Kluyveromyces lactis: one gene and its partners. The protein of the gene in region 5 purifies or fractionates together with the protein of the main gene of each other region. This does not show direct contact. Links are inferred from orthologs where the notes say so. Each region holds a gene or a part of one and is shown on either strand. Other genes may lie near its edges.

Region 1 (3,114 bases), on a different chromosome or scaffold from region 5:
CGCTTTGCAAGGTTCCAAGAAGGCTACTTGGTTGTATTGGTGGATCAAATGTTGTGGTTGCAGAGTGTTGCATCGTCAGGATAGAGGAAGAGTATGGGATGTGTTGCTCGGATGGAGACCACGTCCTGAATCAATCAACTATTATCTCGAGTACAACCATAAATCATTTGAAAGCATTTATCCACCTGAATTGAAACTGAGTTCAGAGATTTTCCATAAGATTTGCAAATGTGAACATGATGAGTTTTGGTTCCCAGATTTGATGTCGTTAAGGCTCGGTCAAAATGGATTGAACCAAGATGAAGATGTCATTCGGGAATTGATACGAAGAAATAAATATGGGGACGATGGTCATACTACAGAAACACAAGAAAATGAGATTCCATATTCGCTCTTGAACCCTCATGCGGAGTTACTTTTCATATATGTTGCCATTATGCAACATAACGAATTTAAACTTTTAGAGTTTGAGGAAACAGAGATCACCGAGTTCTTAAATAATGTCCCACTGATATCAAAATTCGATGACTACAACTTCAAGAAGATGTACGAGGATGATGACATTAGTGGAAGTTCGACAGACACAGATGAATCCAACGCTTCAGGAATTAGACCAAGTTCTTCAAATCATATGATGATAGAGGTCGGTACTGACGATAAGACTGCACACTCGTTTGATGACATCTACCAGCAGGCTGGAGACATCTGGAGAAATTGGGCTTGGCAGGAAATGGAAGAATTCATAGAAGAATGATATATCAGCATTATATTTGTGTCTTTCTTGTATGTAGTATATCTTCTTTTCCTTTAATTAGCATATATATATATAAAAATACTATATACATCTCGAGCTCTATGAATATTGCAGATTGTATTCTAACCTGTTGGAGCGTTCTAACCAGCCAACTAAGATGTGAGTTGATTTGTTAAATAAAGTCATTTCTTCATCCAGTATTTTTTTGCATGTTCAAAAGAGAAACGAAAGCATTTTTATTTAACATTAGAAAACCAACATAAATGTTACATGAAAGATGAAGCACCGATATACATAATTAGATAATGGCTTCAAAAAGGAGAACCTTGGGGCTTACTTCTGGTGAAACTACTTAAGGACTGGCTAAATTGAGGTACGCTAATTATGTTCTGTGCAATTAGTGGGAAACCACCTATAAAAGCTGTTCTTTCACCTAATTCCAAATGTATATTTGAACAGCATCTAATCGAACAGTATATTGAACAGAAAGGAACAGATCCCATAACGGATGATCCATTACAAAAAACAGATTTGGTTGAAATCAATGCGACTCCACAGCAGATATCACTTTCAGAATCATTGAGCTCGTCTACTATCGCAAACAACTATAGCATTCCAAGTCTATTGTCAACTTTGCAGAAAGAATGGGATGCAGTAATGCTCGAGAATTTCGAATTAAGGAAGCAGTTAGACGTTTGTAAAAAGAATCTCAGTGATACACTTTACAGGTTTGACGCTGTTGCATCAGCGGCAGCAAAAGCTTTTGTAGAGCGAGATCAGCTGAAGCAAGAATTAGCAGAACTTACATCGGCAATAACTTCCTCGAATGTCGAAAATGATGGAACTATTGATAAACTCCAGAACTCAGACCAAATTCTATCAGACTTTACTTCAGAATTATCGACGAAATCTCAAGAGTACGTGACAAATTCCAAAAAGTCTAAGAAAAAGCTACAACACTTCTCCAACGTTTCAGTCGTTCAATCGACAGATTTCTCTGAAATTGATTTGATTAGCAGAAATCAGCATGTCAATCTTAATGAAAGATCTGTTGTTGTAAAAGATAATGACAAAGCTTTTGTGTTTGGACCTCAAGATTCTATTCTTGATGTGTCACAAGCCACAGAATATCTGGTGGAGTTTAAAGACGTTCTATACACCTTCACCCAGGGACTATTAGCAGCGTATGACCTTCATACAAAGTCTTTGTTGTATGAAGAAGTTTTGGAAGGAACTGATGGGCCAGTGATATTTATGGCTTATCCTCATCAAATATCGGATTCTTACTTCTTATTCGTAACTGAAAGAGGTACAATATATGGGTATGAAGTTACCAAAAAAGCACTGTTCACCATCTCACAAGTTAAATTGAACGATTCCGTTCAATTTGTGAATTATCATAAAGATGGAGCTCTTCTTGCTATTGGTAACCAAAACGAAGGTGTATATGTAATAAACCTATTGGCTGCTACAAAAGATCCGATTAAATTTTCAACTGGCTTCCCAGCTAAAAGAGTAGACTTTGGTTTGAACGGTTATTGGATGTTTGTCTTTGGTGATTCTGACTTGAATGTTTACGATTTAAGAAAGGATCCAGGCACCTTGGCAATGGAACCACTTTCTTTCGCTGAGAATATCATCAGTGTGGAGTTGGACGATACAGCTAAAGGTTTTTTCGTAAGCATGGGTAATTCACAAGTACAATGGTATGAGTATGTTAAGGGACAGTCATTTGTCGAAAAATCTACTCTTCCGATCGAAACAAATACAGCAGAATCCATGACATTGGTAAAAATAGATCAAGGATATTTCTTGAACGTCATCTCGGAGAATAAATGCATAACATATGAGTTGAAGTAGATATATGATACTTGTCCTAAATAAGGTATAAAAATTGTAATTATTAGAATAATCACTGATTTGATGGTGAGAGTCGTTAAATATATGATCCGATAATACGTCGAAAAATGAACATGTATGAACTCGCCCCCATATATGTACGTGATTTCATCGTAAAAAGAAGTGAAAATCATGCTCTTTAAATATCGAACTGTGTTTGTGTTTTTCTTGCAAGTGAATAAACGGGAAAGAAGATGGCATTACAGAATATGAAAAAGGGATTACCCCGAAGAACTCTTCTTTACCATCTGCTAGTCATGATTGTAGTTGGCTTTTTTGTTTTAGTAATTGTTCGATGTCTTCCTTCATACTTTTCGGTTTCGTCAACGTGGAATACCGTCCATGGACTCTCCCTGAGCGATCGATCAAAAACTTCTCAAAATTCCATCTAACGAACGTGAACCCAAACATTCGCGGTTGTTGATCTTTCAAGTACTTATATAGCGGAAGAGCATTGACAC
Region 2 (2,386 bases), on a different chromosome or scaffold from region 5:
TTGAAACCTCACGGTATTAAAAGAAAGAGATAAAAGAAGTTTGCTTCCGATTAGATGTTTACATGAAACAATATCTATTTTTTTTTTCATTACGACTATTCCTTTTCTACAAATTTTCATACATAGTGTATCATGAATCATTGATGAATATTTCATTTCTCTCCTTTTATGGCTTTATTATACTGATAATAGTAATTCCGTTCGTTCGCACCTTTCTCAATCTTGAAATACAATATCATAATACTGTCACAATCACTGATTTCTTTTTCTCATTTTTACTTCCTTTTTACACTAGGCCAATACAATTTTCAACTACTTGTTTTTCGACATACGTTTTCTAATCTTTATAACAATTCAACCATATCTCATCTCATAAATGTCTGAAATACTTTGGTATTCATGTCTATCAGTTTGTTTGTTTTCTTGTCGTCTATACCGTATATGTCATTGTATTACGTATCCAATGTGTGGTAAACAGGTACTGCTGCTAATTCTATCTTGATAGTTTACTGCCTCTACAGTGGTATATATTGTGACGGATTAGTTATCAGTATCATATATCACGGTCCGCTCGTTAATGTCGATCTTCATTATTTTCAGTTGTTGGGTTGTTGGCAAAAGCAAAAAATTTCAAAAATACTCCGATACGGGGAGTCGAACCCCGGTCTCCACGGTGAAAGCGTGATGTGATAGCCGTTACACTATATCGGATAGTAACCATACAAAATAGAAATCAACATTAGTTTTTATTATGGAAACAGTATCACTTGAAACCTTCTCTTCAGATATTGTTAGTATGTAGCTGAATCTCTTGGAAATACTTGTGTAGTCAATTTTAACAATCAGCACCTATTTAACAGGGATCTTATTCTTCTTGGTGGCATGGGGGTGTGTTATGAATTCTAAAATGGTATCTTCCCACATTTCCCTTATGGCTATTGAGAATCATTTCTGTCAAAGTAGAGTGCATAACAATATTTTTCCAGAGAAACCACTGGATAGTCTCAAATTTAATTAATTGAAAGTTACTTATTATTCTTTCTCAGCAGTCAAGAGCTTCGATGCAGTGTCCACCCGATTTGTTTATTTGATTTTTCACAACCTGTCACTGACACAAAGTATTCAGTACTTATAATATGGCTTATATGGAAAAAAAAAAAAAACTTGAAAGATTCATTCAACTTTAAATTTGGGATTGAAATGATTAAGTAAAATCTATAGGTTCATAAGACACCATAGCTCCAGATAAACTCCAAATACCCCAAACTAGCATCAGTCAAGCAAATACCATGTCTCTAGCGGAGTTTGATGAGATTAAGTACGATCACAGTTGTGATAGGTTAGATAAGCCCTCTCGTTATTTGATCCGTAAGGCTAGACGTGACCCAGATTCTGGATTGCAACAGTTGAGAAAATCTATGAAATCCTGTACAGTTTATGTGGGTAATCTATCGTTTTACACAAGTGAAGAGCAAATATATGAGCTATTCTCCAAATGTGGCACCATAAAAAAGATTATCATGGGTCTAGATAGGTTCAAGTTTACGCCGTGTGGATTTTGTTTTATTATATTCGATAAGATGGAAGACGCATTGAATTCTATAAAATACTTGGGTGACACGAAGTTAGATGACCGTCATATAACCATTGACTTGGATCCTGGGTTCGAAGAGGGAAGACAGTTCGGTAGAGGTAAGAATGGTGGTCAAGTTAGTGATGAGATGAGATTCGAATTCGATGCGTCCAGAGGTGGGTTCTACACTCCACTTGAGAATAGAATTGGAACAAATGCCAACTTCGGGGCCAGAAGAGTTAAAAACATTCCAATACAGCAAGAGGATGAAGAATATGAAGAAGATGAAGATGCTTACATTCCAGGCCAATAAAAACAGTACAATCATAAGGTCGTTTATCGATGTGTATATATCACATTTCAATCTAAGTACCTATTTCACTAAGTTAATTGATTTAAAAGAATAATACTGTGGTAAGAAGTATTTTATTTGAATATATAGCTAGTTCATATTAGAGCTAAAGATATCTCGATATAATAAAAAATTTTGCCGCTTTAATCCATCAATAGGAGTTGGGTGAAATGAATGGATGGTAGATAAAAGAGCAGACAAACACTAATAAACTAATAAATGAAAGAAAGTTAAAGCTGTGCCTTATAATGAGCTCGTGACAGCTGGAATTGAAGATTGACCGTAGACAAAACAAAAAAAATTAAGAATATAAAGAATTAGGAGAAAGAAAAGACCACCTTAATATGAAGGGGTAAAATCTTCTTCTCATGCATGCTAAACGATAACCGAAAAAGTGTAGATTTATGATATGCATTACGACAAATGTCACGATGGTTGTCGACGATGAGAAGGTGGGGGCA
Region 3 (4,008 bases), on a different chromosome or scaffold from region 5:
TCTGTCCAATCCATTCAATAGTCTCTGTGTGACCACCATCCCATCATCACCACCATCCAATGCTAGAAAGAGCCACTCATCATCACGAACAGCATGATTTGAATGAGGCAGTTCTGGTACAGTTTCTGCAGGTACATATGGTGGATTAAAGACAAGCAGGTCGACCTCATTTTCCCTTATTGAAGACGTAAGGTCTGTTTGTAATACATCAAAATGGCTATTCTTGCAACCATTCTTCGAACAAGTGTCTAAGGTAGCGTCCAATGCCCAAGGGTTCAAATCAGTTGCCAAATAAAGTCCATTGGCGTTTGGTATACCATTTTGCATAAGAAACGTAGAGACTATCCCAGAACCAGAACCAATTTCTATAGTCAATGGTACTGCGTCATTGAACCTGTTATTCAACCAACTCAGATCAGCTTCTAATGCATCTAATAAAAGAAAAGAGTCCTCGCTTGGCTCGTATACTTTATTATAATCATAAGAGACGTATGGTGTAGCTAGCATCGCCCTGTTATCCTAAGCCCTGATGAGCTATAGCTCGCATCAATATCTGTTCTGCACCTGTATCTTTTCAAACATGGAAGTCATCGCATATATAATATTGTATTTGAAAAGTTGATATTGAACAATAACGTATGCAAAAGGTCATCTAAAAGAAAGTAATTAAATTGAAGCTTAACAACTAGTCTACTGTTTGATACAACTATTAATCACCATTTTCAGAGAATCGACAATCAGTTGCTTGTTTGTGGTTGAGAAAGATGCAATTAAAGGTCAAGACATTAACAGGGAAGGAAATCTCCGTAGATGTTCAAAGTTCAGAAACGGTCTATCATATCAAAGAGCTATTAGAAGAAAAAGAGGGTATTCCACCATCACAGCAGAAGTTGATCTTCCAGGGCAAACAAATGTATGTTAATTAACTGATAATTCAGAACTGAGAAGAGTTTGATATCAAATTAATGTAGGGACTCTTTTACTAACTAGTAAGTAATGCTATCTTTAAATCAGAGATGATAACGCAACAATCGGCAGTGCCGACTTGCAAGATGGATCTCTTTTACATCTTGTTCTAACTTTAAGAGGCGGTTGTTGAGAGCCATGTGTCATTGCATTGCGAAACCTCAAGATACGTATGTGTATAAGTATTTTGCAGATAAATACCTGGAGGAATTACTCTGCATTTAATAAAACGACTATAATTATTGGAAGCTAACACTATGAATGACATAATTTACATTTACACGACCGTCCAATTATCAAACAAAGGAAGGATGTAACACATGCTTGTTGCTTTTCCTTGTATGCATGAATGAACCTTATAAATACATAATGATTCAGATATCAAATTTAGTGCGAACATTATAATTGTAGAAACAGATGAACTTAACGACAACGATGCAAACAAAAGTAAGAAAAACACGGATAACTTACCTGACTATACTGTAACATGGGTGACAATAGTTTATCCAATGAAGCCATCACTGCCGATAATATTTTGAAGGATGCCTTTAGCCAAAAGAAGCAGATTGCAGCTACTACGAAGGCAGATATATTAGATTTGGAAGAACTGAAAGACTGGCAACGAAGGAAAAGAACAGAGTATGAGACAGTTTTGAAAAGAAATAGGTTAGACCTTCGTCAATGGATGAGGTATGCTCAATTTGAATTTGATCAGAAAGATATACGAAGAGCTAGGTCCATTTATGAACGCGCTCTTCTTGTTGATCATGGGTTTATTCCACTATGGATTCAATACATCGACAGTGAAATCAAATGGAAAAATATCAACCATGCAAGGAACTTGTTAGACAGAGCAACAAACGCTCTTCCTCGTGTTGATAAGCTCTGGTTCAAATATCTTTTATTGGAAGAATCTTTGGGAAATCAGGGTATTGTACGAGGCATTTATACAAGATGGTGTTCATTTGAACCTGGTCCCGATGCATGGGACTCCTTCATCGAGTTCGAAACAAGGTGCTTGAATTTTGAAAATGTCAGGAACATTTACTCGAAGTTTGTTCTAGTCCATCCTCAAATAGATACCTGGTTGAAATGGGTTCGTTTTGAACAAACTCATGGAGATATATCATCCGTACGAACAGTGTTCTCATTCGCGCTAGACACACTCACAAGTTTCAGCGGAACACCACTGGTAGATATTGAACGAGTTATTGGTAGCTTCGCTTCCTGGGAAGCTTCTCAGGGAGAGTATGAACGATCTAGAACGTTATACCGACTAGCAGTTGAAAGATGGCCAATTTCTGAAGCATTAAAGGAACAGCAGATTCAGTTCGAGAAGAAGTTCGGCTCTTCGAAAAATATGGAGGACATAGTAATCGCTAAAAGGAAAGCCGAGTACGAGCAATATCTAAAATCAGATCCCTATCATTATTCTACTTGGTGGGTCTATATTGACCTGGTTGAGGAAAAATATCAAGAGCAATTGACATCAGCTTTCCAGTCGTTCATTGAATTGGCAAAGCCGAAGTCCCTGGTAAAGGATTCGAGCTGGAAGAGGTACATAAGAATCTGCGTACGATACTTGGTCTATCTAGAGCTCACCATTAATGATTTGCCTACGATACGCTCGGTTTATCAAGACATCCTCGACATCATTCCACATAAGAAGTTTACATTCGGTAAACTGTGGATAATGTATGCAGAATTCGAAATTAGGCAGAACAACTTGCTGAAAGCAAGAAAAATTCTGGGTGTGAGCTTAGGAAAGTCCCCCAAGCCAAAAGTGTTTAAATATTACATCAATTTGGAGATAAGGCTAAAAGAGTTTGATAGAGTGAGAAAGCTATACGAGAAATACATCGATTTCAATCCTAGTTCAGTGCAATCATGGTTGGATTATGCAGAATTAGAAGAAAATTTAGGAGATGAAGATAGATCAAGAGGGATCTATGATATCTCCATGAGCAATAATGTTGGATTATCTGAATCGGACCAGCTGATTGTCATTCAGCGCTATATCGCTTTTGAAACTGATGCAGCAGAATATGAAAAGGCTAGAGAGTTGTACGAGAAGTATTTGATTTTGAGTAGATATGACGTGAACATATGGATAAACCAGGCGCTTTTCGAGAGCACTATTCCAACTGAGACCCAACTAATAGCCTATCAACAATCTCATCAAGACGGGAATTTTGACGACGATGGCGAAGAGGAGTTCAGTTTTGAAATTACACCTGAGAATAAGCATCACACCAGGGCTATTTTTGAGAAGGCAATTTCATATTTCAAAGAACATAATGAAGATAAGAAACGCCAGCAAGTTTTACAATCTCTCCTGGAGTATGAGAAAGTTCATGGTAATCAAGAAACTTTGGAAAAGGTCAATGCTAGACAACCAAGTTTGGTTAGGGAAAAAGTTACTATCGATAACATTGAGCAAGAGTCATATAAATTGGATTTTCCGGACGATCGTGTTGCTCAACCTCCTATTGCTCGAAATCTTCTAGCTTTGGCAAAACAATGGGAGAAAAATTCCAGCTGATATGTAACTTTATATTCATATACAGATAATACAATTGTAGATTTAGAACACGCATTTAATCAGGTTGGCATATAGGCTATTGAGAAAAAATACGAATTGTATTAATTATTCGTTTCATTATCGGTAAAACTTTGTGGCAACTGGTTTGACGGTATCGAACTGGGTGTTGATATCGTAGAAGGGGTAAGCCCAGGTGCATTCATTGTCGGTACAGATCCTGGGGGCATTAATCCTGGAGGAACGTTGCCTGGTGCTGCTGCCAATCCTGGTGCTGCCAATCCTGGTGCTGCCAATCCTGGTGCTGCCAATCCTGGTGCTGCCAATCCTGGTGCTGCCAATCCTGGTGCTGCCAATCCTGGTGCTGCCATTCCTGGTGCTGCCATTCCTGGTGCTGCCATTCCGGGAGGAGATAAACCTGGGGGTGCCATTCCTGGAGTAGCAATATTTAAGTTTCCTTCAGTGATACCTATTCCAGACGTTGAATTTTCTGCAGCCAGAGA
Region 4 (2,124 bases), on a different chromosome or scaffold from region 5:
GACTTTGTGTTCTGAGGAAGATTCGAACCGAAGTCGCAACGTGGCCTTTTTACCAGCTACGGCACAACACCCGACTCAAACCAATTACGAATTCATTCAGTAGTAGACCCTGTCACGTGTGTGTCAGGTGTCATTTCCGTAGTTCAGAGTATCATCCACGAGGCCAAGGACGAGAATATAATTAAACTTATGTAAATTATCAACTCCCTATAACTCATCATCTGTGAGCATCAATTCATCGTCAGCTAATGGCGTGAATTGAGGACCTACTTCAACAACGGCAGGTCTCACAAACCCGCCGTAATTCTTTTTTACTGGTCCGAAATACTTCGTTCCTTGGAATGTACCATTGTTCTTACCGTCAGGTTCGTCAAATTCAATTCCACACCATACATCTGTATTACTGATCTCTTGAACTTTTCCCACGTATCGTAACCATCCTCTTCTTTCGGGGACCTTGGTGGAATCGGTCGTTGTTTCCTCGTTGGACAGTACTCTGCATCTTTCTCCAACGTGTTTTTGTAATAGTTCTGCCTTATCGATATTCAGTTGTAGTTGTTCTTCCATCTTAGAGCGGTATTCAGGATTAAATTTCCCTAACTTGTTATCTTTTTTCCATTGTAATACAGAATCCCTTCTGTTCTCATAATCGTCCATGGTGTATCGGAACGAAACGTCATCGCTATTAGCATGTAGCAAATCATTTTTCAATTGGCTTGCTAAACTGTTTTCGTTGGTGTCTATCACTTTTATGGACTGGATTTTCTCTACTTTCTGGTCTTTGAGATCTTTCAAATACTTGCTGTTCTGTGCATTGCCATTTATCACCAATTTCATGTCTTGAACATCAACACCGGTCAATTCGTTCAATCTTTGGCCCAGATGGTCCCATGATGTACCAGGTTTCACAAAGATCTGAGTGTTAACCAAATCGGATATAATTTCCACGTCAGATGACATTATCGGTGCTGATATATCCTCTGTTTTATTTTGTCTTCGATGCTGTAAGTTCAATGTTTGTCGTTTTGTCCAGGCATGTTTGAACATCGAATTTTTCAATGTTCCGTAAACTTAAATGAAAAGTTAATTTGAAACCAGTAACACACTTTGACAATAACCCATTGAGCAAACAGCGCTACCCCACCCAACCAACTACTAATAATGAGCGAAGCAGTATGTTAACTACTATAATTAGGACGGCTTTCTAAAACTTCTTCAACTTTCTCAAAACAATGATCCATTCTACATTTTAAGTTCAAATTTACTAACAGTTAGAGAGTTTATACATTCCCCTTCTCTGCAGAGGCAATCACAACAACCGAGACAAGAGCAGAAGAAGAAGTTCGAAGGCCCAAAGCGTGAGTCTATCATAAATCTTGCACAATATAAGGACACAGAAGTACGTGTCAAGTTCATAGGGGGAAGACTGGTCACTGGAATCCTAAAGGGTTATGACGAGCTAATGAACTTGGTTCTTGACGAAACCGTCGAATATGCAAGAGACCCAGAAGATGAAACCATCATCCACAAGGACCAAGCCAAAAAAATTGGTTTGGTCGTCATAAGAGGAACAGCTCTACTTTCGCTATGTTCCCTCGAAGGTGCTGAGATCATCAATACCTAGTTAAGACCCAAAAAAAAAAAATTTCAAGCAACAGTGTACCATATATGTTCATTAATAGTGCTATATAACGTTCAGTGCTATATCAAACTCACACTATGAGCCCATATCCACATTTCTACCTGTATCTAATGAAATAAGTATCTCCAACGGAGATACTTTCCTAACCGGCTACATCTCACTTATCAAGACCTAATCTGCACAAATGTGCGTTCACGTGACTTATTGAATCTTTTTTCTAACATCAGCAAAGCTTTTTGGTTAAATTTCGACCAAAAAACCGTATCTCATCGCATCGACTGATTAGAGAGATATCTTGAATTCTTTAAACCGACTGCGTCCAGGTGTTCATTTATATATATGTGAGTATATATCTCTTGTGAGAGTTGTTCTTTTAACGTTTCAAATTCTCTTTTCGCTTGTTGCTGCAAATCTGTTTGAATAATATTTTCTGTAGTATTCTTACTCTTTACTGAAGACCAATCAATTAGCGCATCAAAGCG
Region 5 (4,123 bases):
CAATAGGTTTCCCAAGATCAATAGAACAAGGAAGATGGAAACGAATAACGATTTAGTAGATTTTGTGAAGATAAGCACGATGGGCATGACACCTTCATGATTCATTACCTCAGAGACATCAGGTAGAATGAGCATCATTGGGATCAAGAAAAATAGTCCGGAAACTAGTGAGATTATCACAGAGCGTGTCATACTGTAAGGAATATCTTTCTCTGGTTTCTCAGTTTCGTCAGATAATGCCGATAACATCGCAAACCCTTGGAAAGTGAAATTAGATTGCTGAAACCCTCCAATTAAAAATGACAAGGCCATAGAACTATACCCCGACAAACTATTATCGAATTTGGTAAAGACATCCTTGAATGATCTATGGTTTGGTTGGAATAATAGGAGAAGTGTACTTGTGAATAATATCGCATATAAGATCCAGTAAACACAGACCTTATTGATAGTTTCAATGAAACTTGAAAATTTTAGATTAATGACTCCAACCACAGTCACAATGAGATAAAACATTAGCACAGTCCATAACGTCAACCACCGGGAGTCTATCAGAGATTCATTAGTCATTGTCAGCAAAGAAATAATCAATTGTGCACCCGCAAACGTAATACTAGTGCTCATCGTCCAACTTCCAAACAACATTAGCCAACCACAGTACCAAGACATACGCAACCGAAGTCTGCCAGGCGCAAGCATGGCCGCTGCACCGTGAAGTTCTATGGGGTACTTCGAGACTATCTCACTGAGCGACAGTGAACTAATCCACGTCATTATCCCACATATCAGATACCCAAATATTATCGATGGAGATCCACCATTTAGCAATCCAATACTCATAGTAGTGCTCATACCAAGTACGGGACTCATCAACCCAAACCCTAGACCAATAACAGAAGTCCGCGAAAGTAAATTCTTGTCAAGTTGCTGTACATATGTAAACTCTTTAACCTCATCGGGAATATCCTGGTCTTCCTCGTTCAATAAAGACAACAATCGCTCGGGAATGTGTATGTTCCCGTTAAGATTAGAAAGCCAGATGTATTCAGGCATTTCAAAATGCAGTTCGGCTCTGTGTGACCCCTTGGTAAGCTCACCCTTTTTATTTCCTAGAACCCTTTCGGCATCCGTCTTGGCAAAATGTCTGTCTTTTCGAGGGCTCATCGATATTTTCAGTTCTTAGACATTATGTAAATGTTGACGAAAGTCAAAGCTTCGAGTAATGAAGATAGAATGATAAGCACATGCATTGCTCTTAGGGAAGACTACTGCGATTTGGGTGACGTGACTCAGCACTGAGTACTTTTGGAAGGAAATACAATAATGGATGAAGATTTGTACGATGAGTTCGGTAATTTCATTGGGGATCCAATGCAATTAATCGATTCTGATGATGATAGTTTGGAAGAAGTAGGAGAGCAGGAAGCTCAACATGAATTACGGCAAAAGATAGTCGAGGCTGACTCTACCGATGTGGTACTTCGAGATGTGAACCGTGATTTCGATGATGATGTTGAAGTTTTGTTGGAAGTGGAAGATAGAGAACCTGAGAAACCATTGATTGGGGACGATTCGAAATCATATAGCGAAGCTGTTAACAGGAAAGTACCTAAAGCACTATTTGACAGAGGGTACTTGAAAAGCCTTTTCTCGATACCAGAACGTCAGTTAAATGTTGGAATTTTCGGGGCGCTACATTGTGGTAAGACTTCTTTCACGGATATGTTTGCGTTAGATACTCATCGCAATCTTCCGTCCTTGACAAAAAAAGTTAAGGAGGGATGGGTACCGTTTAGGTACCTCGACCAAGCGAGGATAGAAAAGGAACGTGGTATTTCGCTTAGATTGAATGGTATGTCGTTTGCATATGAATCGTCAAGAGGACGTACGTATGCAGTGACGATGTTGGACACACCTGGACATGTAAATTTTTGGGACGATGTCGGTATTGCTTTGACTGCTTGCCAATATGGTGTAATCATCGTTGATGTGATAGAAGGAATTACTTCTGTAGTTTCCAAACTGATAAGAGAATTGATAAGTAATGGGATCCCCTTTATCATCGTTCTTAACAAAATTGATAGATTAATTTTGGATTTGAGACTTCCTCCTACAGACGCATACAGCAAACTACAATATATCGTGAACGAAATAAACACATATACCAAAGAAAGATTCTCACCGGAGCTAGGTAATGTACTCTTTGCCAGTACCAAGTTTGGATTCTTATTCTCTGTGGAGTCTTTTGTGAACTCATTTTACGCTAAATCGTTAAAGGATAAGACAGAACAATTTGCTGCTCAACTTTGGGGTCAAATTAATTACAGAGAAGGAGCATTCTACCAAACAGAATTTATTACGGACAACATTGCATTCATTCAGTTTATTTTACAACCTTTATACAAGGTTTTCACTCATACATTATCTGCATCCGAGGAAGAACTAAGAACAGTCATCGAAACCAATTTTCAAATCAGGCTTTCAGATGAGATTCTATCAAAGGATCCTCAGCCGCTACTTTTTAGCGTGTTTCATGCTATACTACCGCACTATCACTGCTTCATCGATGCTATTGTTTCAACACAGGACCACAAAATCAACAACTTATCATCCGATGAAAGCACTGTTGTACATGTATTGAGACACATGAGCCTGGAAGGTTCCAAGTGGTCCCTTTGTCGGATAATAGAGGGCTCAGTGAAAAAAGGCAACAAACTCTATATTTTCAATGAGTCCGTAGACTCTGTAGTAGATTTTGGTGATGATGAATACTCCAAGGTTACTATTGAGCGTGTAGCCTTAATGGGAGGTAGGTATGTCTACGAACTCGAGGAAGCAATAAAAGGACAGATTGTACTTTTAAAAGGTTTTGAAGATCAGTATACGAAATATGCAACTTTGTCTTCGAGCTTGATGAACCCGCTAGCACCAATTAACTATCTCAACGAATCGGTGTTCAAATTCGCCATACAGCCTCAGAAACCAAGTGAACTACCGAGACTATTGAACGGTCTTCAACAAGCAAACGAATTGTACCCTGCATTAGTGGTTAGAGTTGAAGAAAGCGGCGAAAACATCATAATTGGAACAGGAGAACTTTACCTTGATTGCGTGATGGACGAATTACGGAAAAAATTCTGTGAAATTGAGATCAAAGTAAGCCAACCGCTTGTGCAATTCACGGAAAGTTGTCAGAACGAATCGTTCGCGTCAATTCCTGTAAAGTCAAACAACGGTGTAGTATCACTCAGCGTTATGGCCGAAAAATTAGATGGAAAGATAGTACACGATTTGACGCATGGTGAAATCGACAGTTCAGAATTGAATAACATGAGAAAGTTCTCCAAACGTCTAAGAACCGAGTATGGATGGGACTCATTGGCAGCTAGAAACTGCTGGGATTTATCAAAATGTAATGTATTCATTGACGATACTCTACCTGATGAAACGGATAAGCAACTACTCAAGAAATATAAAGAAAACATTTTACAAGGGTTTGAATGGGCTGTGAAAGAAGGACCATTGGCTGATGAAACAATCCATGCATGCCAATTTAAACTCTTGCAATTCAAGGTACAAGAAGACAGCATCGAAGATATCATCCCATCTCAACTAGTGCCAATGACGAGAAAGGCATGTTACATTGCGCTAATGTCTGCTACTCCAATTATCATGGAACCCATCTATGAAGTCGATATTATCGTATCGGGGGTATTGGAGTCTGTGATTCAGAATTTATTGAAGAGACGCAGAGGTGGAAGAATTTACAAGACAGAAAAGATAGTGGCATCACCATTCATAGAAATAAAGGCTCAATTACCTGTCATCGAGTCGATTGGATTTGAGACAGATCTTCGTGTTGCGACCGCCGGTAGCGGAATGTGTCAAATGCACTTTTGGAATAAAATATGGAGAAAAGTGCCAGGTGACGTACTTGACGAAGAAGCCTTCATACCGAAGTTGAAACCAGCGCCTGCTGCAAGCCTAAGCAGGGACTTTGTGATGAAGACAAGACGTCGCAAGGGTTTATCTGAAAGTGGTCACATGACTCAAGACGGGCCATCATTAAAGAAATACATTGATCAAGATCTATTCAAGAAGTTGCAACAAAAACGATTTGTAT
Region 6 (4,254 bases), on a different chromosome or scaffold from region 5:
AGATCAACATTGTGGTCAGTAAGAACTTGGATTGCCATGATTATCGCTGCACCTGAAATTATCTGCGCATCCATCAGTAGCACTTGGTTATAATTTTCGATCATTGGTGGAATAAATAAACTGTGCAATTGTGGTTCCCCTGTTCTGGAATCGGATTGAATAAGTAGCTTACCAACTGCGACGCTAGGAATTGTCTTTCTTAGAGATCTCATGAAACAGTCGCCAGATCTAACAATATTTATAGCTGTGACACGGTCAAAGTCAACAAAAACTGGATTATCCAACTGTTTTCCTGTCGGCGTAATAACTTTAGTCGTTTTCAATTTCGTAGGTATATCGTCCAATGCAAAGGATAAAAGTATTGTTGCTAACCTGTCAAAATAGAATACCCAGTCATCTCTTGAAACGCTTTTGTCTAACAATATAGTCTGTAGAGCCTTCACCTGATTAGTTTGTCTCAACTTATGAATTATATTTAAAGAATCAATCGACACAGCGTATGACTCGAGCTTTTGAAGTTCTGCTAAATGCTGCTGCGATTTGAGCTGCAATTTAGACTGAATGTGATTAAGTAACATCTCAGTCGCAATGCTGTTATCTGACATGGATGGGATGATTGCATCTGCTGCCTTCATGGTTGGTTTCACGAACCTATCCGCATTTGGTTTAACAAACTTCTCCCATTGTCTTATGCAACCATGCAAGTCTCTCCCACGAGAGATGATATCCCTTGTCAATCTTCTAGCTAAACATATATCTAAATCTGCATCCACGTAAACCTTCAAATCCATTAAATCAAGAAGTCTTTGGTCATATAATGCGTAAATTCCTTCAATAACAATAACACTCGCACCATAGATGGTTAAAAACTTATTTGGAATTCTATCATGATCTGTGAACGAATAGGTTGGGATTTTCACCTTCTTACCTTCTTTCAAAGACAGGATACATTGATAAGCTAGATCCAAATCTATTGAATCCGGTTTATCGAAATCGTAGTTATTTTCGAAAGCCTGCTTTCGTTCTTCGACGGTTAACGGTTTATAGAAATTGTCCAACGATATTAATACTGTCCATGGAGTGTTGATTCTTGTCACGAGTTTGGTAGCAACACTCGTCTTTCCAGAACCTGAACTCCCTCCAATACCAATAACATACGGTGTTGTCCAAGGTGGTATATAGCCAGAAGAGTTCATTCTGGACGCCTTGCAAGCGTTTTATGAACACTAAATGTCCTATGCCTGGAACTGTCTATGTCTGTTTTCTGATTCAGATAATGTTTATCTGGAAGGTTTCTATCAGTCATTTGGCATAGTTTTCAACATTTGATATTGCAAGAAAGCCACTCGATGTACCTTTCACGATTAGAAACTAAAGGTGAGGGAAGAAGAAGAAATAAGCGCTACGAAATCAGGTAGAACGCTCTCGCAGCATACCGAATCGCAGTTCATACTATGGGAACCTCAGGTGATGAAAATGGTACTAAACTTACGGGATCAGGACAGCGCAGAGCGAAGAGAACTTATGAAAGCATAGAATCGGTAAATGCAAATACTAACTCATTCTCACCTGCAGATCAAGTTTTGGACAGTAGCCCGGACCCTTCATTGAAGGATGGTAAGGCTCATTATTCGGTTAACTCGATTAAGTCAATGGTTGAGCAAAAAGTTTTGACTAAGAGACAGCGTTCTCAGTTGCACTGGCTGGTTAAAGATCTTCAGATTTTAGAAGATGACATAAAACGTTATGGTTGGAATAACTTAACTGTTAGTGAACGAGAAGAGATATCGCTGAAAAGAGAGCTATTGAAGCTCTTAAATGAAACTGGAAAAGACTATGCTGAAAATGGAGATACAAGTGGATTCAAAATGCAAGATGAGGTCGCATCAAAGAAACAACTATTGACCGCCAAACTTCGAAACAAAACCGATAGGGTGAACTGGGAAGAGGAGCAAATGAAGAAAAGTGTAATTAAGGCAGATGCAGATGAAATCAAAGTTAAGGATTCAGATAATTACGAATTTGTTTTTGATCCTGAGTCCATGATTGATTTTACTGATGATACGACAGATATTTTAGAACCTGTTGAAGACGGTAGATTGGCTGAAGCGTTAGAAGAACAAATTAACAAGATGAAGAGTATTAAAGAAACGAGGAAGTCATTGCCAGTTTATCAATATAGACAAGAAATTTTGGATAGTATTCGGCAACATCAAATTTTGATTGTTGTTGGTGAAACGGGGTCTGGGAAAACCACCCAACTTCCACAGTTCCTTGTGGAGGATGGTTACACCAACGATGGAAAATGCGTGGTTTGCACACAACCACGTAGAGTTGCTGCAACTAGTATTGCTTCAAGAGTTGCTGATGAAATGGATGTAATATTGGGGAAAGAAGTCGGTTATAATATCAGATTTGATGACCGAACAACGCCTGATAAAACAATCTTAAAATATACGACAGATGGGATGTTACTTCGAGAATTTCTTAATGACCCACAACTATCATCGTATAGTGCAATAATGATTGACGAGGCTCACGAGCGCACGTTATCTACAGATATTTTGTTGGGGTTGCTAAGGGGTATTTTACAAGACAGAAAAGATCTTCGACTTATAATTTCTAGTGCAACTATGAATGCTACTAAATTCTCCAAGTTCTTCTTTGATTGTCCGATATTTAATGTTCCTGGTAGACGCTTTCCTGTGGATATTCACTATACACTTCAACCAGAAGGAAACTATATAAATGCTGCGATCACCACCATCTTTCAAATTCATACCACCCAAAAATTACCAGGTGATATTTTGGTATTTCTAACTGGTCAAGAGGAAATAGAATCGATGCAAACAAAATTACTTGAGATTCTTTCCAAGCTTGATAATACAAAATTTCCAGATCTCTTGGTAGTACCTATATATGCCAATCTTCCTCAAGAACAACAATCCAAAATTTTTGAACCTACACCGAAGAACTGCAGAAAAGTAGTGCTTGCGACAAATATTGCAGAGACATCGTTAACAATTGACGGCATAAAGTTCGTGGTAGATCCAGGTTTTGTGAAGGAACAATCCTATTCAGGAGGAGTTTCAAAGCTAGTGACAGTTCCATGTTCTAGGGCATCTGTTGACCAGAGAGCAGGGAGAGCAGGGAGATTGGGTCCAGGCAAATGTTTTAGATTATTTACAAAATGGTCTTACTACAATGAGCTTGAAAAAGTACCAAAGCCAGAGATTTTGAGAACAAAATTGAATCAAGTGGTTCTACTTTTGCTTTCACTAGGTATCAACGACTTACTTCACTTTCCAATGTTGGACAAACCAAAAACTATCCAGCTAAGCGAAGCCCTCGAAAATTTGTATGCCATTGGCGCTCTCAATAGCAGAGGTGCAATCACAAAAGTAGGACAAGTTATGTGTGATTTCCCATGTGATCCTGAATATGCCAAGGTAATATATTCTAGCGTGTTTGAAGAAAGCTGTAATGGTGTTCTACCTGAAATTGTTACGATTGTCTCTATGCTTCAAGAGAGCAACTCTATATTTGTACCGGGACTCAATTCGGAAGAAAAGACAAAACTTTTTGGGTCATTGATGCAGTCAAGTGACCACATGCTATACTTGTGGATATATGAACAATGGGAAGAGAATGGATACTCACGAAGATGGTGTCAAGATTTCAAGTTGCAACATAAAACAATGAAACGAGTATTGAGGATACGACAACAATTATGGAAATATTGTAGGAAACAAGATTTTCTGCTTAAGCATGACCAAAACCTTACTCAACTCAAAGAAAACATGCCTCGTTCCGTCATTGAAGCAAAAATCATTAAATGCTTTATATCAGGATTTCCAACAAATATAGCAAAGCTCTCTAAACAAGGCTATACTAACATAAAGCAAGATTTATCCGTCAGCGTTCACCCATCTAGTGTTATTTTCAACCGAATGAAACAAGAAGGAAAACCAATGAAATACATCCTCTATCAATCTTTGATGCTTACAAGTAAAGAATTCATTAGAGATTGTATAACATTTGATAAATACGAATGGCTCACTGAAACTATGCCACATATTTATAAATGAATCTTTGTATCCCCAGTTAATTGAGGAGTAACATATGCAACATTTTCTAAGAAGCTTTTCAGAACATCACGCCAAATTGTTGGCGAGTCCACCTATGTTCTGAAAAACCAATTGTAGAATAATCGAAATCAAATCAGTTATTTTTCTAATTACTTCTAATGTTCAA
Region 7 (3,272 bases), on a different chromosome or scaffold from region 5:
GAAGAAAATGAATGCCACAGAGAACGGCCCAGCCTGCTGGAAACAGAAAAAGCTAAATGTTAAGAATGGTCTGTAGCAGATTCATTCCAGGGTTTTTCCCAGCAGATTACCAGCCCGAAACTAAGAGAAAGAAACCAGAACGGGTGCGTTTATTCATCTCTGAAAGTATACAGTTTTCCGAGGTCATACCAGCCCACACTTTTAAACATGCATTTTTGCTTTCATTCATTTTTTTTTTACTATACTTCAATATATGAGTACATTATATATATTTTGTTTGGAATGGGTTCATAAGTTAATGCTATTGGAACCAGTGGCATCAGCAGTATTATCTGAATCCACGCCAACGGTTCTCCGGCCTTGAGATTGCAAAGATCTTTTTAATTTTGTGGACGCCGATTGGATGTCACCGGAAGATACAGTGCTAGCCCTGTGCTGTTCTTCTAGGTCCAAAGCTTGTAGCCTTTCGTTATAATTATCCAATACTTTTCCATTTTCCGCTAATGAGTCTTGGAATACTTGCAAATCCTTCTCATCAATATCATCATCGGAAAAATTCCCTTCCGCGTCCAATTCTTGTCTGTTCAATACCTCTTCACCCTTAAGCTTGGCAACGTACGCTTCTAACCTTCTGTTAGATCTTTGTAAATGCTTCACTGCATTATTGATCTCTTTTCTGATCTCTTGTAATTCATGCTCAGACGATTCTCTAATAGCAATCACGAACTCTTGAATCTGAATTGGTCTACGAATACCAGAAGAATGTGCCATATTTCTATGTTAAGTCTATCCTTAGCTATGTATGTTTTTTCACTTTTTAGTCTTGTTTCGGTTGGAAAGTACGAGATGAATTAAGATCGGTATCCTTAACTATATATTCAAGCTAGCCTTTTATAACAATAATTTAAGCCAGAGTTTATTCTCTTACTATTTATACCCAACGGTAAGATATCACGCCCCACATATGACACCCACCCCTCCGAGGCACCATCATTGCAAATCAGAGTGTATGATGCGCACGTTACTATGCTGACTTTTTCCAGCTCCAAAGCAACACTACTTGTTAAAAATCACATCAGCTTTTCTGCTTTCCTTTCTCCTGGGCTGGATTTCCCCGCCTAAGTCCTTCTCTGGGAACTGAACTTTGTCCCTTTCAGCAAAGAGTTGAGAAACTCACGAGGAACACAAAAACAACGAGAATTAGGGGCCGCTTATGTAATTCTTTTCATCCCATAAAACAGAAAAATTGTGCTGTTTTGGCTTCCACCCATACACTACGCACAATCAGGGGTTGGTGCAATTTCGGATATATTACCCGGGCATGGTGAATTTCATCATAGGCGTTACAGAGTGAAGATGTGATTCAGATTCTATATGAGAGAGAGTTCATTGCGATGCTAGAGAAGAGATGGACAAAAGACAAATGGTGATGTGTAATAGTAACTACGGATTGTCTGGAATAATCGGCCCTTTGTACAAAAATCATATCATCATATAATGGGCAATGATAATAATACTAATAGAGGGTTAAATCGGAAATTGCATTCTGCATTGAGTGTTGAGAATGTCAATTTATTGAGATTTCAAGGTAGACGTTGTGGAAACCCATACTTGCAAGACGTACAGGCTCATGGTTTTGAGCCAAAGGCAAGAGTATCGTCTCATTGGTATGAACCGGGAGAGGTTGTCCAGCATGCTGCAAAATTAAGACAAGAGAACCGTGAAAAGTCTGAAGAAGAAAGAATACGATGGGAAGCTGAACTGGAGAAACAGCAGGAAATCGAACGGAAAATAGAAATAGGGGAACTACCTGATAAGCATGAAGAAGTTTATTTTACCGATTTATCGGACGTTCCTGATGTGGAATGGTGGGATGTTCCATATATCAAAGATGGTAGCATCCATGAGAAATATAGTTTGGATTATTCCACATTGAATTCGGACGATGAAAGTGATGATGAAGAGGAAGAGGAAGAGGAAGGTGCACAAGATAAATTCCCAAGTATTAGGTATATTCAACATCCGGTACCGATTGAAAGGCCTAGGGCAGCTGTTCCAGTGGCAGAGATTTTCTTAACGAAAAACGAACGGAAAAAGGCCAGAAGGAATACGAGGAAGTTGGTACGACAGGAGAAGGAGGAGAAAATCAAGCTTGGTATAGAACCAAAACCAGAGCCCAAGGTTAAATTATCGAATATGATGAATGTGTATGAGAATGATGCCAATATTGCGGATCCAACTCAATGGGAATCCATCGTACGGAGACAAGTGGCAGAGAGGAAAAGGAAACATTTCGAAGAAAATGAAATAAGGCATCAAGAAAGCCTGAAACGAAGGAAGGAATCCCAGTTACAAGCACACAGCAATGATAGTCCTCTAGAATACACGTGTGTTGTTTACATGTTTGACGAAATACAGAATCCTAGTATCAGATACAAAATCAAAACCAACGGTAAGCAATTGAAGTTGAAAGGATGCTGTCTACACATTCAAAATGGCAAAGGTATAATTGTAGCTTTTGGAGATGAAAAATCTATCCGCTTTTTCGATAAGTTGGTGACAAAGCGAATCAATTGGTCGGAACCATACAAAGATAGAGATACCGAAGAGACAGTACCTTGCGACGGTAAAATTACAAAGGTTTGGCAAGGATTAATTGGTGATTGTAGATTCAAGGGCTGGTTCATGCTCGATTGTAAAGATAAAAACCAGTTAAATAATATCTTAGAGCAGCACGATGCATTGACTTTTGTACCATTAGGTAAGTTTTAACAAACAATTACGTACTGAAAATGAAATCCAAGTTCGAAATCATCAAAATTTTGGAATAAAAGTAATAGTGTATGTTAAAAAAAATAAAACCGGAGTAAATCCAACGACCTACTTAGAACATTTATTTACATGGGGTGAGTAGGCAGTCCAAGTGACGCACAATGGTCAACATTATTGAGTTTTATCACTACCAACATCAAAAAAAAGTCATATTTATATAAATAATATCTCCCTTCGTCTCTCAAAATTCAATCATCAATAACAGAGAAAGATACTGGCTCATAACATCGTTCTTTAAATTTAATTCTGGTGTAACGTTCGAGACCTTTATTCGACGACCTTGGCCAAGATTTCAGAGTCTCTGAATAAAACGACTTCATCATCCTTGCCCAACTTGATTGTGGATCCACCGAATTGTGGGATCAAAACTTGGTCACCTGGTTGGACAGATGGTGTAATCTTGTTACCGTTGGAATCGGTGAAACCTGGACCAGCAGCCA

What was found.
Region 1: the proteins of SNU114 (region 5) and PRP19 purify together in Saccharomyces cerevisiae (affinity purification with mass spectrometry; 4 studies listed by BioGRID, with this or other methods). This does not show direct contact. The link is inferred for Kluyveromyces lactis from reciprocal best matches to the Saccharomyces cerevisiae genes SNU114 and PRP19.
Region 2: the proteins of SNU114 (region 5) and CBC2 purify together in Saccharomyces cerevisiae (affinity purification with mass spectrometry; 3 studies listed by BioGRID). This does not show direct contact. The link is inferred for Kluyveromyces lactis from reciprocal best matches to the Saccharomyces cerevisiae genes SNU114 and CBC2.
Region 3: the proteins of SNU114 (region 5) and CLF1 purify together in Saccharomyces cerevisiae (affinity purification with mass spectrometry; 4 studies listed by BioGRID). This does not show direct contact. The link is inferred for Kluyveromyces lactis from reciprocal best matches to the Saccharomyces cerevisiae genes SNU114 and CLF1.
Region 4: the proteins of SNU114 (region 5) and LSM7 purify together in Saccharomyces cerevisiae (affinity purification with mass spectrometry; 3 studies listed by BioGRID). This does not show direct contact. The link is inferred for Kluyveromyces lactis from reciprocal best matches to the Saccharomyces cerevisiae genes SNU114 and LSM7.
Region 6: the proteins of SNU114 (region 5) and PRP2 purify together in Saccharomyces cerevisiae (affinity purification with mass spectrometry; 3 studies listed by BioGRID, with this or other methods). This does not show direct contact. The link is inferred for Kluyveromyces lactis from reciprocal best matches to the Saccharomyces cerevisiae genes SNU114 and PRP2.
Region 7: the proteins of SNU114 (region 5) and PRP3 purify together in Saccharomyces cerevisiae (affinity purification with mass spectrometry; 4 studies listed by BioGRID). This does not show direct contact. The link is inferred for Kluyveromyces lactis from reciprocal best matches to the Saccharomyces cerevisiae genes SNU114 and PRP3.

What each region holds. Positions count from the first base shown.
Region 1 is NC_006040.1:327,220-330,333, forward strand, and holds PRP19 (E3 ubiquitin-protein ligase PRP19), read left to right. Parts: upstream 1-1,138; coding exon 1,139-2,614; downstream 2,615-3,114. Other genes in the region: OCA5 (Oca5p), read left to right, coding at 1-754; KLLA0_D03905g (glutathione peroxidase), read right to left, coding at 2,909-3,114. UniProt on the Saccharomyces cerevisiae protein: Probable ubiquitin-protein ligase involved in pre-mRNA splicing.
Region 2 is NC_006038.1:914,012-916,397, reverse strand, and holds CBC2 (nuclear cap-binding protein subunit CBC2), read left to right. Parts: upstream 1-1,289; coding exon 1,290-1,886; downstream 1,887-2,386. Other genes in the region: KLLA0_B10450g (homeobox domain-containing protein), read right to left, coding at 2,352-2,386.
Region 3 is NC_006042.1:1,644,139-1,648,146, forward strand, and holds CLF1 (Clf1p), read left to right. Parts: upstream 1-1,453; coding exon 1,454-3,508; downstream 3,509-4,008. Other genes in the region: MTQ2 (S-adenosylmethionine-dependent methyltransferase), read right to left, coding at 1-507; NEDD8 family protein RUB1, read left to right, coding at 765-913, 1,015-1,099; mRNA splicing protein MSL5, read right to left, coding at 3,610-4,008. UniProt on the Saccharomyces cerevisiae protein: Involved in pre-mRNA splicing and cell cycle progression. Required for the spliceosome assembly by promoting the functional integration of the U4/U6.U5 tri-snRNP particle into the U1-, U2-dependent pre-spliceosome.
Region 4 is NC_006041.1:2,037,120-2,039,243, forward strand, and holds LSM7 (Sm-like protein LSM7), read left to right. Parts: upstream 1-1,161; coding exon 1,162-1,173; intron 1,174-1,303; coding exon 1,304-1,624; downstream 1,625-2,124. Other genes in the region: ALF1 (Alf1p), read right to left, coding at 208-960. UniProt on the Saccharomyces cerevisiae protein: Component of LSm protein complexes, which are involved in RNA processing and may function in a chaperone-like manner. Component of the cytoplasmic LSM1-LSM7 complex which is involved in mRNA degradation by activating the decapping step.
Region 5 is NC_006037.1:603,688-607,810, forward strand, and holds the start of SNU114 (U5 snRNP GTPase SNU114), read left to right. Parts: upstream 1-1,323; coding exon 1,324-4,123. Other genes in the region: TPO5 (Tpo5p), read right to left, coding at 1-1,164. UniProt on the Saccharomyces cerevisiae protein: Component of the U5 snRNP complex required for pre-mRNA splicing. Binds GTP.
Region 6 is NC_006042.1:601,535-605,788, forward strand, and holds PRP2 (DEAH-box RNA-dependent ATPase PRP2), read left to right. Parts: upstream 1-1,454; coding exon 1,455-4,088; downstream 4,089-4,254. Other genes in the region: uridine kinase URK1, read right to left, coding at 1-1,196. UniProt on the Saccharomyces cerevisiae protein: Involved in pre-mRNA splicing. Is required together with ATP and at least one other factor, for the first cleavage-ligation reaction.
Region 7 is NC_006041.1:826,747-830,018, forward strand, and holds PRP3 (U4/U6-U5 snRNP complex subunit PRP3), read left to right. Parts: upstream 1-1,497; coding exon 1,498-2,772; downstream 2,773-3,272. Other genes in the region: TMA17 (Tma17p), read right to left, coding at 289-771; HSP10 (Hsp10p), read right to left, coding at 3,100-3,272.